Linked DNA regions of Neurospora crassa OR74A. The protein of the gene in region 1 purifies or fractionates together with the protein of each later gene. This does not show direct contact. Links are inferred from orthologs where the notes say so. Each region holds a gene or a part of one and is shown on either strand. Other genes may lie near its edges. The genes, in order: NCU01779, NCU08707 and NCU04280.

Region 1 (3,906 bases):
CGAGAGTCCGAGTTACCCTGAAACACTTTTCGGAAAGTTTCCATCAGAAACAATGGGATGATCTTTGTGGTGAAGACGAAAGCACACAAACAACATAGGCGTGTGCACCAGTATAGACTCATCAACCCTCTACTATCTGACCAGTAAGGCAACAAGCCGGCTGCAGCAACCCGGTGTGCAGGACACCTAGTATCCTAGACAGAACTCGCTGCAGACCGAGAGGCGTTCTGGCGCCTAGCCTAGGCAAGGGAGACATCATTAGACACACACAACGTGAGCAACTAGCGTAAGGAGGTTCCACCAGAAAGAGGTACAGTATCTCGAGAGTACGTACTCCATGCTACGGATTGGTGTTTGGAACATGTTATGGATACCATCAGCAAAGCTGACTCGCTATTGAGCAACTTAGTATGTACGAAGAAGTAGGTAGATGATCCACACACTTCCCCAGACTCTACAAACCGTCGTGCCGTCCGAGGTAGGATCGAACTATGTAAATGTGGAGTCGAGACAACAAAACACTGCTGGAAACTGAGGACTTGCAAGTTGTTAGGTCTAGAAGTGTCTGCTTTTTGAGACATTACTTGCGAGGCTCCCAAGCCTTGTCAAGTCATGAGAGGCGAGTACCAGCTGTTTCACGATATTCCTCCACATATATACTTCACTGCGTACATCCACAAATCCATCCCACCCAGTACACAACCAACATCAACGCCATAACCCCAACTCATACGACACGAGGTATCGGTGGCATTTTGCAGCCGTGTCGGCAATCATCGGCACCTGACCACCCACTACCCTTCGTTCATTCTTGATATGGCATGACACCCTGCATGCAGCGAGATACCTCCAGAACCCTGACCGGTCAACAGGCTGATCCTACCGATCATCGATTGCACCTTTACGCTTAGATCCAGATGGTTGAGGTTGGGGCAGGGAAGCTTCCAATTCTCTCCCATCATATCCCATGCTCCACATACCACCCCGAGTGGCTTGTACGACCTTGCGGGTTCCCTACCCGCATGATTTCGTATCGACTTTGTATTTCACGGAAGGCGATCTGTAATCGGAAAGGGTCAAGGGAACAAACAAGGACACCAAATTCAATCCGCTCAAGTTGACATGGGGAGGTACTATGGTATACTGCTCCTGTCCAGGTTGAATCAAGTATGGTTTATATCCAACGGTGGGTATATCTGAGGGCGAGAGCCGTTTTAAGAGTAGAGGATACGGTACGGTACGGTACGGTACGGACATGGCATAAGAAGCTTATGGTTGAATTCTAGGACGGTTCTTCAATCTAAGAAAGATAGTGAGTGAGGCCCCCCCAAGAGAAACGGATTAGCCAGGGACAGAATCCAAGGAGTCCTTCCCTACGGTGGTGGGAGGGACTTCGCCCTTTTGCTTCCTCAACTTCTCCTCGAATTTCTGAAACTCCTGCAATGCTATGTCTTCTTCGGGGTCAAGTACCTGTTCGACGCCTTGGACTTCCTCAATCTGTGGGTGTTGTTTGGCATGTCAGCAACGTGTTTGTTGAAGCCATGACCAGGCCGGAGAGAAAAGACAGCGGCCAGAGGAAGAAAGACTTACGTAGTGCATCAACATGCCCTCAATTCCGTTCTTCAGCGTCACCGTGCTCGAGTCGCACGTCCGGCATGCTCCGCGCAGCTTGAGCTTGACGATTCCATCCTCGAACCCGCGGAACTCGATATCACCACCGTCCTCCTGGATCGCGGGGCGGATCCTTGTCTCCAGCAGCTCCTTGATCATGCCCACCACCTCGCTGTCGTTCTCGTCGTACGCCAAGCTATCCTTCTCGTCCGACTCTTGCGTCGATTCCTCCCCTTCGTTGCGCTCCACCACGTTGACAATCGTCTGGCCCGACGTGATGGTCTCGGTGATGAGTGCAAACACCTCCGGGCGGATGTGCGCCCAGTTGGCGTCGGCCGACTTGGTCACCGTGATGAAGTCGGTGCCGTAAAAGACTGAGGTGACTCCCTCGATGTTCATGAGCTGCGCGGCCAGCGGCGAAGGGTACGGCGGCGCAATGGTGCTACGCGCGTTCATGTACTCGATGAAGGGCGTCTTGATCGAGTCCGGGATGACCTTTTGGTTGGGCAGGAACTTGAGCGAGTCCGGGTTAGGCGTGTTTTCGGTCTGGATGAAGATGGTACGGCGCTGCTGCTGGGGCGCGAGGGTGGTGTTGAGAGCCCCCCATGACCGTTGCTGAAGACGGGGACGAGCGGCCGAGCGGGCGCCGGTATGCGCTTGTCTGCTGCTGGTGCTGGTGCTGGCGGGAGCAGAAGCGGCAGCACCTTGGCGCAGACACGGGATGGTTGTCGCGGCGGGTCGCACGGTCGACTTGGAAACGAGAGGCACTAGGCCTTTTCGTAATAATAGTCGATTTAGTGGCATCGTCGGTGGTGGGGTGGTGTTGGTGTTTTGTCGGAATGCCGCCGAGAGAAAGAAATACAGCGACTTCGGACGGGAAAGGAAGATGGATGGGAAAAAGAATGACGCCGAAACAGATTCCATCTACTGGTAGAACTACTAGAATACCCGCTATTCCGAAATGTTGCCGCCGTGCCGGGCATGGAATTGTCAGCGGCCGCTAACGCTAACGCGATTAGCGCCGATATGCGTCCACTGCCATGCCGGCTCCAGGGGTCCAGTGTTATGCACCTTCAGCTCTAACTGATCCGTCTTTTTGCGTCATAGCTTCCCCTTTGGGGCAATTGACTGCAATTTTGACGGAGTGGTTTGTCAGCCTCCACGCTGATTGGATCAGAGACTGTGGCGGGACTTTGGTTTTGGAACTGAACGAAGGACCCGTTGTGCAGTTTATTCAGTTTCATCCATAGGTTTTGATGTTTTGCCCAAGTCCCACCATCTTTTTTTTGCAGCACACGGACAACGCATTTCTTTGCTTGGACCGAGGGAGCTGAGTGCCAATCATATTCGACGACTTACATCCTTCGCTTCACGTCCTGGTCGCCCTATCGGCATTTCCCTGGTCGCTTGGCAAAAACTGCGGATCGCGACTTTTGGCGATATTGATACGATTTCCATTTCGAAAATTTCAATTCAACCTCACAAACCGAAACCCTTCACTCAGAGATATCCCAGCCACAAAACTAAAACTGGCCTCCACTCAACGAGTACGGCTTCACTTTTACGGTGTCATCATACAAATATACAGCTTTTCAGCATTCACTCACTGTCACCTCTTACCTTTTGCGCGCCACGCTCCTCACTATCGACATTGACATATTGCCAGGTCTCGGCCCATTGGATTGAGAAAGCCGCGCGTTTCTAAGAGATCATTTGCATGCAATGAGCGCCGAGCCCGTCGAAGATGGTCCGAAAATGGGCTCGGATGAGTCCCAGCGACTGTTCGCCGATGAGTTGAAGGCGCTCATCGCCGGCGCCCGCGATGAGGCCTCAGTCACCCAGGATAATGACCAAGATACTATACAAGTCAACGGACAGCCAAGCTCAAAAGACCAATCAGACATCATAATACAACCTCAGATCGAGCAAGAACCAAAGAAAGAGCCGACTTACGTAATGAGAAAGCCAAACGACCAGCAGCAAGAGGCACAAGCCGCGGAGCCAACAGTGAATCAAGAGCCGGCTTCGCCATCACGAAAACGTCCGAGCCCGGGGGACGAACCAGAATCATCACCAAAACCTGTCAAGAAGGAAGCGAAGCAATGTGGTGTCTGTCAAGCGCAGCCAGGGAAGTACAGGTGTCCGCGCTGCCCGCTTATGTAGTAAGTTTCACAAAACAAACCCTTATCTGCTCAGGCCCAACATGCGTACTCATCATCACAAACAGCTGCTCAGTAGCTTGCAACAAGTCCCACAAGGAAAACCACCCCCCTCCTTCCGAGGTACAACCCAAGC
Region 2 (3,780 bases), about 1.3 Mb from region 1:
GTTTGGCAGGAGTCTGGAAGAAGTCGGCGGCACTTCGTTTCTTTTGGGTTGAACTTGGTGGTAGGTTTCCGTTCTGGGTACTCTGTTGTCCACTACTTTGTGGTTCAGCTTGGGCGGTGGCGCTGTCGGCGGCTGTCTCGAGGAATGACTGGCAGCCGGAATCAATGTGGCTGTTGATTTTGTCGAGGCCCTTGACGGCCTGGTTACATATCGGACAAGTGACCGCCATGGCGTCGCATGTGTCAGTGGGTAGGATGAAAGCAAGACTGAAGCAAAATCTGGTCTTCTCAATGTGTCTGAACGGTGGAATTTCAAAAGATGACCCGAGGAATAGCAAAAATGGGTTGTCGAATGGCGAAATTGGGGGTGACGGGAGACGCGTTTGGAGGGCGTAAATTGATTTTCGAACGCGTTAACAGCTGTTGTCCCCCTGCCGCTGCAGTGTTGGTGGGTGGGGAACTGTGTTGCGGCGGGGATACATAAAGCATGTGGGGTAGCTCCCGCTGGACCGTTGGCAAATTGACAGGTGCCCGCATTTGAGCCGCACGAACAGAAGTCAGAAGTCATGATTAATCAGCCATCAAAAACCACAGCATGCGTCATTAGAGGGCATCGCAGGAAAAGGTACACAGTAGAATGCATGTAATCATGACAGCCAAAATATGGGATGAACCATTTATGCGTGCCAGATATCAAGTATGATGATAAGCCTCTCCATTGCTCTCCCTTGTATAAATGGTGGTGCAACAGGGAAAAGAGAGAAAAATTATACAGCAACACTACCGATAAGTAAAGAGGCCCTTGATAGAGCCGTCCATATCTGAGTTTACCAGAATGGAAAAAAAATAAGTAACAAGAACAATAAAGGGAATAATGCTCTCTACCCAAACGCCAGTACCCATGCTTTCGCCGAAAGAAAACCCCCCCAAGCGCGCGAGCGCTAACAAATGACGCAAAAAGACTCTGAAAGCTCCATACATAACTCTTCGGTCCTTCGTTCTCGATGCGCCAAGGGAGCCACTGAAGTGAAGACCGTCCCGTAGCTCTCTCTAAAGTCGTGTCGTGTCACGCATGACTGTCCGGCTGAAAGGCGCTTCGGCTTCCACGCCCGGCCCACCCCTAGCTTAACCGAGATTTAATATCATTCATGTCCTTTATTCATACCATGAATGACTCTCCACAACCGCATTGCTCCTCTGTTTTCCCTTTCATTAGCCACCATCCCATCCCAATTCCTTTCCGCAGCATCGAGGGAGAAAAGAGGGGGGGGTAAAAACTCACTAATATTAGGATTCCTGAAAACAAACCGCTGACTCAACTTATCCTCCACCCAGTCCATTTCACTGCCAATGATGCTGAAGAGCGCCTTGCTGTCAATCAAGACCTTGACGCCGTCTTGCTCCACCGTCTCGTCAAATGCCCCGGCCTTGTCCACGTACTCCAGGTGGTACGCCAGCCCGCTGCACCCCCGGTTGCGCACGCCGACTTTGATCAGCTTCGGCTCCGGCTGGTCCAGCATGGCGCGCAGGTGCTCGACAGCCGCGGACGTGAGGTTGATGGCGGCCTTGCGAGGGGCGCGCAGGCGGGAGGCGCGGGGGGCGGGCTTGGAGGGCGTTGGTTGCGTGGGGGCGGAGGAGGCTTGTGCTGCGGCGGCGGCGGCCTTGGATTGTTCTTGCTTGGGAGCAACGGGGGTGGGCTGAGAGGGGCTTGATGATGTAGATGGTGACGTTTGCGCAAAGTTGTTTAGTTGTTGCTGCTGCTGCTGCTGCTGCTTCGGTGGCGACGCAATCTTGTGAGGTCTTGTCTCGTGTACGCGCGGCATGGGCGGCTGGACGGGGAAAGCCATGGAGTCATTTCCGGAGCGCGGCGGCGATGGCGGGTGCGAGGGAAGAGTGTAGGACTGGAAAGCGGTGACGGCGGGTGAGGGCGTCGTGCTGAATTGGTGGCGCTGGGCGTGAGCGACGGTGCGGTTGCTGTTGCAGAGGGCGGACGAGAGCGTCCTCCTCGAAAGAATCCTTTGCGCGTTCATCTTGAGTAGAAGTGGTCTTGTTGTTGTTGTTGTGCTTGTTGTGTGATGTACAATCGCAGACGGGAAAGCCGGCGATAGTATGGCGGCGGTGGAAGTGATATGATGTACGGCGGCGGAAGATGAAGAAGAAGAAAGGGGAATTGCAGAGGTCAGGATCATAGGGCTGTGACAAGGCCAGACTTTTGGTGGTTAGGTAGGTTGTGTGTTGGGAAACAGCCGGGGCAATTCGGCTTTGTTCTTCCTCTGATGATGGTTCAGTTGTGCTTGGCGGGAATTCGACAGTTGGGTGCGGGCCAAGTTCAACTGAAGTCAAGTCAGCCGAGCAAGCAAACTGAGCCGGTACGTATGACACGGTGATGGGATGGCAATCTTGGCCCTCGGAGCCGCCCGGTAACCGAGTTGGCCAATCAGCATTCGCCCATTAGGAATCCCGCTGACAATCTGACTGTCTTGAACGATCCACATGTTTCGTAAGCCACGGAGGGTCCACTTATTATATGGGCTCCATCCATTCACACCCATCGGATTTGCCGTATCGACTTCTGGAACTCGCATCTCTCAGGCCACTCGCCCGTTCCCTCCTGCAGTGTCATTCCAGGTCTTCCATTTTGCCCCAGACAGAAGGACCCTGATGGGCACACGTCCCCCGGAAGTCCAGCTGTCAGGGGAGGCATGGAAGGGATGGAAGCGGAAAGGGGGAGGAGGGCAACAAATGCGCCTTATCTGGTTGGTCGCCCTATCAACTTCCAGCCCTGGAATCAAGGGGGGATTGCTTCGAACCCCCTTGTTCGGAATGGACCCCTTTGTTTACTTTTCGTCTTGATTCGGTCAAGTCAGGGGCACGACAAGGACAGCTGGGTCCATCGTGCTCAGGGGCAATGACATCACTCCTCTCTACCCTATAGTGTACTACATACACGTAGGTCGGTGTGTCCCCTCCACAAAGTTGAAATCTGGGGACAGCTCCCTGGAGAAGAAGACAAGTCTCCATCACGATGGTAGTACCATACCATGTCCCACTCGCATCAGGCACAAGAGTACCTGCTATGTTCTCGTCCGTTCAGTCCAGTCCATCTGATATTGGCCGATTGGATATTTGGGCTTCAAGCCATTAAGTAGGTAGTGTACATCATCCTCAAACACAATCTATCCCATACATCGCTAACAGAACAAAACAAAACTAAACAAAACAAACGCCTTTTTCCATCTCAGTCTCATTAGTGTAAAAAACCAAACCATTTCCCTACCACTACCACATCCACATCATTCACTCCCCACCCACCAACGCCCTCACATCCCCCACCGCCTCCCTCGCCATCTTCTTCAACAACCCCCTCTCATCCGCCTCCCTAAACCTCTCCCAGCTATCCAGTCCCTCCTTAGCCTGAATGCTCAACGTCTCGTATCCCTGCTTAATCACCTCGGCAACCTGCACGCTCGTCAACTTTTCCTTACTACTACTAGCCCCTGAAGCCAACATATCCTTGTAGTGCGCCGACACATTCACCAACGTATCGATGCTATTACTCTGTCTCTTCTTCAGCCCGTACACATCCCTGAACTTGACCAGCACATCGCCCATCTCAACAATCTTGTAAAACAGATCGTCGTAGGCTGCCGATGTCGGCAGGAACGATTCGCCTGACGAGAGACCGAGGGCCAGGGTGTTGACTACCAGATCCAGAAGCGTGTCGAGTTGGCCTTGTTGTCCACCTAGCAAGGTCTTGAGGTCCGAGGCGTACGTGGTTAGG
Region 3 (4,270 bases), on another chromosome or scaffold:
TCTATTTGCACAAACGCTTATCAAAAACTTTGCGACTCGCTTCGGGATATCATCCACCTCTTTTTCATCTTCCTTTTACTTCCTCTCCCTAGATCCCCTTGCTGCACTAGACCGAATGAGGGCGACTTAGTTACCCTTGGCGAGCAAGTTCAGCGCGCTACCGGCCAGAATAAAGCCAGCCTGGTCCTTGGAAACCGCATGCTTGGTCTTGATCTCCACCACCTTGCCAGTGTCCTTCTTGGTAACCCGGAGGGAAACCTCGCCCTGGCCACCGTTCTTGAGCATCTCGTACAGACCGACAGTAGCCACCTCGTCGCCGGCGTCGATCAGATCGTAATCCTGCTCGTTGGCGAACGTCAGGGGCACGACACCCTGCTTCTTGAGGTTGGTCTCGTGGATTCTGGCAAAGGACTTGGTGACGATGATGCGGGCGCCCAAGTAACGGGGCTGAAGGGCAGCGTGCTCGCGCGCGGAGCCCTCGCCGTAGTTGTGCTCGGCAACGACGAGCCAGGGCTGGTTGCGCTGCTTCCACTGCTTGGCCAGCTCGGGAATGGTGTGCTTGGAGCCATCGAGGTCGTAGGCGACGTTGACCTCGCCCGTGGCGGCGTTGACGGCCGTGTTGAGCGTGTTCTCCGAGATGTTGGGCAGGTGACCCTTGTACTTGAGCCAGGGACCGGCGGCGGAGATGGTGTCGGTTGTGCACTTGCCGGTGACCTTGACGAGCACGCGCAGGCCGGAGAGGTCCGATTCGGGGAAAGGCTCAAAGGGCTCGAGGAGGGCGAGACGCTCAGAGGAGGGCGAGATGGCGACTTCCACGTTCGGGTTGGGGGATCCCGACTGGACTTGGAAGACCTCGCGGCCGGCTTCGAAGGGGGTTTCGGGACCCTCGAGACCCTTGGGCGCAGGGAACTTGAATTCCTTGCCGTCGGGGGTGGTCAGGCTGTCGGTGATGGGGTTGAAGGTGGTGGAACCGGCGTAGGCCATGGCGGTGACGATTTCGGGCGAGGCGAGGAAGTTCATGGTCTCGAGGTTACCGTCGTTGCGACCGCGGAAGTTTCTGTTGTAGGAAGTAAGGATGGCGTTGGGAGTGCCCTTAGGGATGTCATCCTGGCGCTTCCACTGGCCGATGCAGGGACCGCAGGCGTTCGAGAGGACAATACCACCAGCCTTCTCAAAAGTCTGAAGGGTGTTGTCTCTCTCAAGAGTGGCACGAATGCCCTCGGAACCGGGGGTAATGTAGAAGTCGGAAGCGGGCTTGATACCAGCCTGCTCGGCGGCCTTGACAATGCTCTCGCAACGGGTCATGTCCTCATAGGAGCTGTTAGTGCAGCTACCAATCAGACCAGCAGAAAGCTTCTCAGGCCACTTTTGCTCCTGGACAGTCTTCTTGAACTCGGAAAGAGGGATGGAAAGATCGGGAGTGAAGGGACCGTTGATATGGGGCTCGAGCTTGGAAAGGTCGATCTCAATCAACTCATCGTACTGGGCGCCCTCGTCGGCCTTGAACTTGAAGAACGAGTCCTGACCGGTGCCCTTGGTGAAGTTCTCGAAGTTCTTGGCGTCCTTATCGGCCTGCTCGCGGTTGGTGGCCTTGAGGTAGCGGCTGGAAGCCTCGGTAAAGGGGAAGATTGAGGTAGTGGCGCCAATCTCAGCACTGTAGCAACAATGGTCAGTCAATACATTCTAAATGGCGAGGGGGAAAGCTTAGGGAGAACTCACCCCATATTGCAAAGAGTTGAAGAACCAGAACACGACAAAGACTCGATACCAGGGCCGAAGTACTCAACAATGTAGCCAGTACCACCACGGACGGTAAGACGGCCGGTAAGGTGAAGAATAATATCCTTGGCGCTGACCCAGTCGTTGAGCTTGCCAGTCAGGCGAACACCGAGAATCTTGGGGGCCTTGAGCTCCCAAGGGGCACCAACGAGGGCCTCAACAGCATCAGCACCGCCGACACCGATAGTAATGGTAGTCAAACCACCAGCGTTGGGAGAGTGGCTGTCGGTTCCGAGCATCATGAGACCGGGGACGGCGTAGTTCTCGAGGACGGTCTGGTGAATAATACCAGCACCGGGAGGCCAAAAGTCGATACCGTACTTCTTGCCAGCCGACTCGAGGAAGTCGAAAACCTCGTTGTTGGTGGCAATACCGGCCTTCAAGTCCTCATCGGCACCCTTGGATCCAACAATCAAGTGGTCGCAGTGAATACTGGCAGGAATAACGGGCTGGGGGAGGTTGCAAGTCATGAACTGCAGGAGAGCCATCTGGGCAGAGGCATCCTGCATGTTCACACGGTCGGGCTTGAGCTTGAGGTTGGCCTTGCCGCGGACGTCACGGCCGCCGTTGGTGTTGGAGAGGAGCGACTCTTCGACATTGTCGAGGTGGGAGTAGAGGATCTTCTCGGCCAGGGTCAGGCGCTGCGAACCCAGCACGCGGCGGACCTCGGAATACTTGTTGTAGAGGGTCTCATATCTGGGAGGAAGCACGCCGGTGTTGTTGGAGGAGGTGGAAGAAAAGGAGCGGGCCGAAGCGCATGCGACGCGCGAGGGGAGCTGCTTGGCTTGAATTGCCCGCTACGAGAAAGGACGACTTGTTAGCGCTGGTGAGTCACTAAGTAGCCCTTTATTTTGTACAGGGTTGAGCCTCGGGGAAATGGCCTACCTTCAGGGCAGCGCCTGAGCGACTGGCGAGATCAATTGACCTCATGGTGACAGACTGTACAGAAGGGGAACTTGGTTGTTTGGAGAAAGAAAAGAGGAGAGAAAAGTTGCCGGTTACACTATCTTCACTTTGGTCCGAATTACGGAGCCATTCCACTTGTGAGTGCCGCCGCCACCCAAGCAGCAAATCCGGGGATTGCGGTACACTACATACACTGGAAGTACGCTAACTGTCTTTTTGTCCAATAACATCCAGCTATTTTAAGTGAATGCTTTGTCTTTGATTTCAATTCTGAATTCTGAGATGCCCAGGCAAGTCCTCAAAAGTTCCAGATCACTAGTAAAACCCTCCAGGCCGGCAGTACCCTTGAACCAGTGTTGACTTTGAATCTGCCAAGCCGGGGCGTAACACACAGCTGATCCACTTTTCGACTATTCAAGCCAATCATGACTCGTATGTTCCTAATCGATTCTCTCAGTCACGGACTTCGGCCGAGCTTTCATCTTGAATTGTTCTTATATCCGACGGAAATGTGGTCTACTGTTATATAGCAATACTTTTTGCTACCAGGTATCAAGTGTTATGAAACGGCGTGGCGGGCGTACTTGGGAATTCATGTCGTTGTGTGATTTTCCACTCTAAAAACATTACTTGCATAACCATAAAACGCCATTGCCATAGCCGATTCTACTAAACAACCCGCCAGTCGCTCTCAAAAAGGATATCCGGGGAAAATAGCACATATGAAATGCCCCTGCCATGACACTGCACTTTGCAGCTTCGTTTCCTCTTACATCGACAGCCCATCATAGAGACGTAAAAATTGACATCTTTCCGCAGCCGCCCTACACTTCAGCCGTGTTGCAAATTGTCGCCGTCTCCTCATCTTCATCCAAAAGTTCCCACTAGCGAGCTTCGGAATAATCGTTGAGAGCGACGCATACAATACCGCGGTGATGGCCGTTGTACTGTCTGATAACAAGCTGCGTGTGTAATTCCCACAGCCGCGCATAATGATCACTGCAGGCAGTTACCAAGTAGGCACTGTCAGCGCTGAAGGCACAGTCCCATACCCAACGCTGGTGCTCCTTGAGAGTGGCCTCGAGGGGGAACGCCTGCGGTTCCGAATCGGCCGTGGCAGGTTCCATTTCCCTGACTTCCCAGATCCTGGCCGTATGGTCGGCGCTACACGTTGCGAGCTTCTTGACATCGGGCGAGAGTAGGATGCGCGTGATGCTTTCCTTGTGTGCGGAAAAGTGGGTGAGGGGAATCAGCTGGGTGCGGTCATAGGCCTGGATGAGTTGCCAAACGAATACATTGCCCTGGCAGACAGAAAGGAGGTGTCAGTATATCGGGAAGATACAGCAAGGAATGACTCGGTGGAGAGAAAACTTACAGCAGTGTTGGCCGCACAAAGAAGTGTACCGTCACTGGCAACCGTGACACTTGTCACTGAAACATCCTCCTCGGGGATTAGCTGGTGCGAGCAAGTGTTCTCGGCCAGATCCCACAGTCGGATGCTTCCGGCGCGGTCGCAGCTGATGATCTCTCCCTGATTAGGGTGGATGACAACGTCGTTTGCCGGAGAGCCGTGGTTGTAGCTTCG

Evidence for each region.
Region 2: the proteins of NCU01779 (region 1) and NCU08707 purify together in Saccharomyces cerevisiae (affinity purification with mass spectrometry; 3 studies listed by BioGRID, with this or other methods). This does not show direct contact. The link is inferred for Neurospora crassa OR74A from reciprocal best matches to the Saccharomyces cerevisiae genes NFU1 and ISA1.
Region 3: the proteins of NCU01779 (region 1) and NCU04280 purify together in Saccharomyces cerevisiae (affinity purification with mass spectrometry; 3 studies listed by BioGRID, with this or other methods). This does not show direct contact. The link is inferred for Neurospora crassa OR74A from reciprocal best matches to the Saccharomyces cerevisiae genes NFU1 and ACO2.

The regions. Positions count from the first base shown.
Region 1 is NC_026502.1:2,466,675-2,470,580, reverse strand, and holds NCU01779 (HIRA-interacting protein 5), read right to left. Parts: upstream 2,529-3,906; 5' UTR 2,416-2,528; coding exon 1,591-2,415; intron 1,498-1,590; coding exon 1,342-1,497; 3' UTR 535-1,341; downstream 1-534. Other genes in the region: NCU01780 (hypothetical protein), read left to right, coding at 3,334-3,773, 3,839-3,906. UniProt on the Saccharomyces cerevisiae protein: Involved in iron homeostasis within the mitochondrion where it is involved in the assembly of iron-sulfur proteins.
Region 2 is NC_026502.1:3,750,445-3,754,224, forward strand, and holds NCU08707 (iron sulfur assembly protein), read right to left. Parts: upstream 2,626-3,780; 5' UTR 2,189-2,625; coding exon 1,282-2,188; intron 1,197-1,281; coding exon 1,159-1,196; 3' UTR 580-1,158; downstream 1-579. Other genes in the region: NCU08706 (AAA family ATPase), read right to left, coding at 1-229; NCU08708 (hypothetical protein), read right to left, coding at 3,297-3,780. UniProt on the Saccharomyces cerevisiae protein: Involved in the assembly of mitochondrial and cytoplasmic iron-sulfur proteins. Probably involved in the binding of an intermediate of Fe/S cluster assembly.
Region 3 is NC_026505.1:5,481,500-5,485,769, forward strand, and holds the start of NCU04280 (aconitate hydratase), read right to left. Parts: upstream 2,870-4,270; 5' UTR 2,710-2,869; coding exon 2,665-2,709; intron 2,577-2,664; coding exon 1,720-2,576; intron 1,655-1,719; coding exon 127-1,654; 3' UTR 1-126. Other genes in the region: NCU04281 (WD-repeat protein pop3), read right to left, coding at 3,570-3,986, 4,061-4,270. UniProt on the Saccharomyces cerevisiae protein: Catalyzes the reversible dehydration of (R)-homocitrate to cis-homoaconitate, a step in the alpha-aminoadipate pathway for lysine biosynthesis.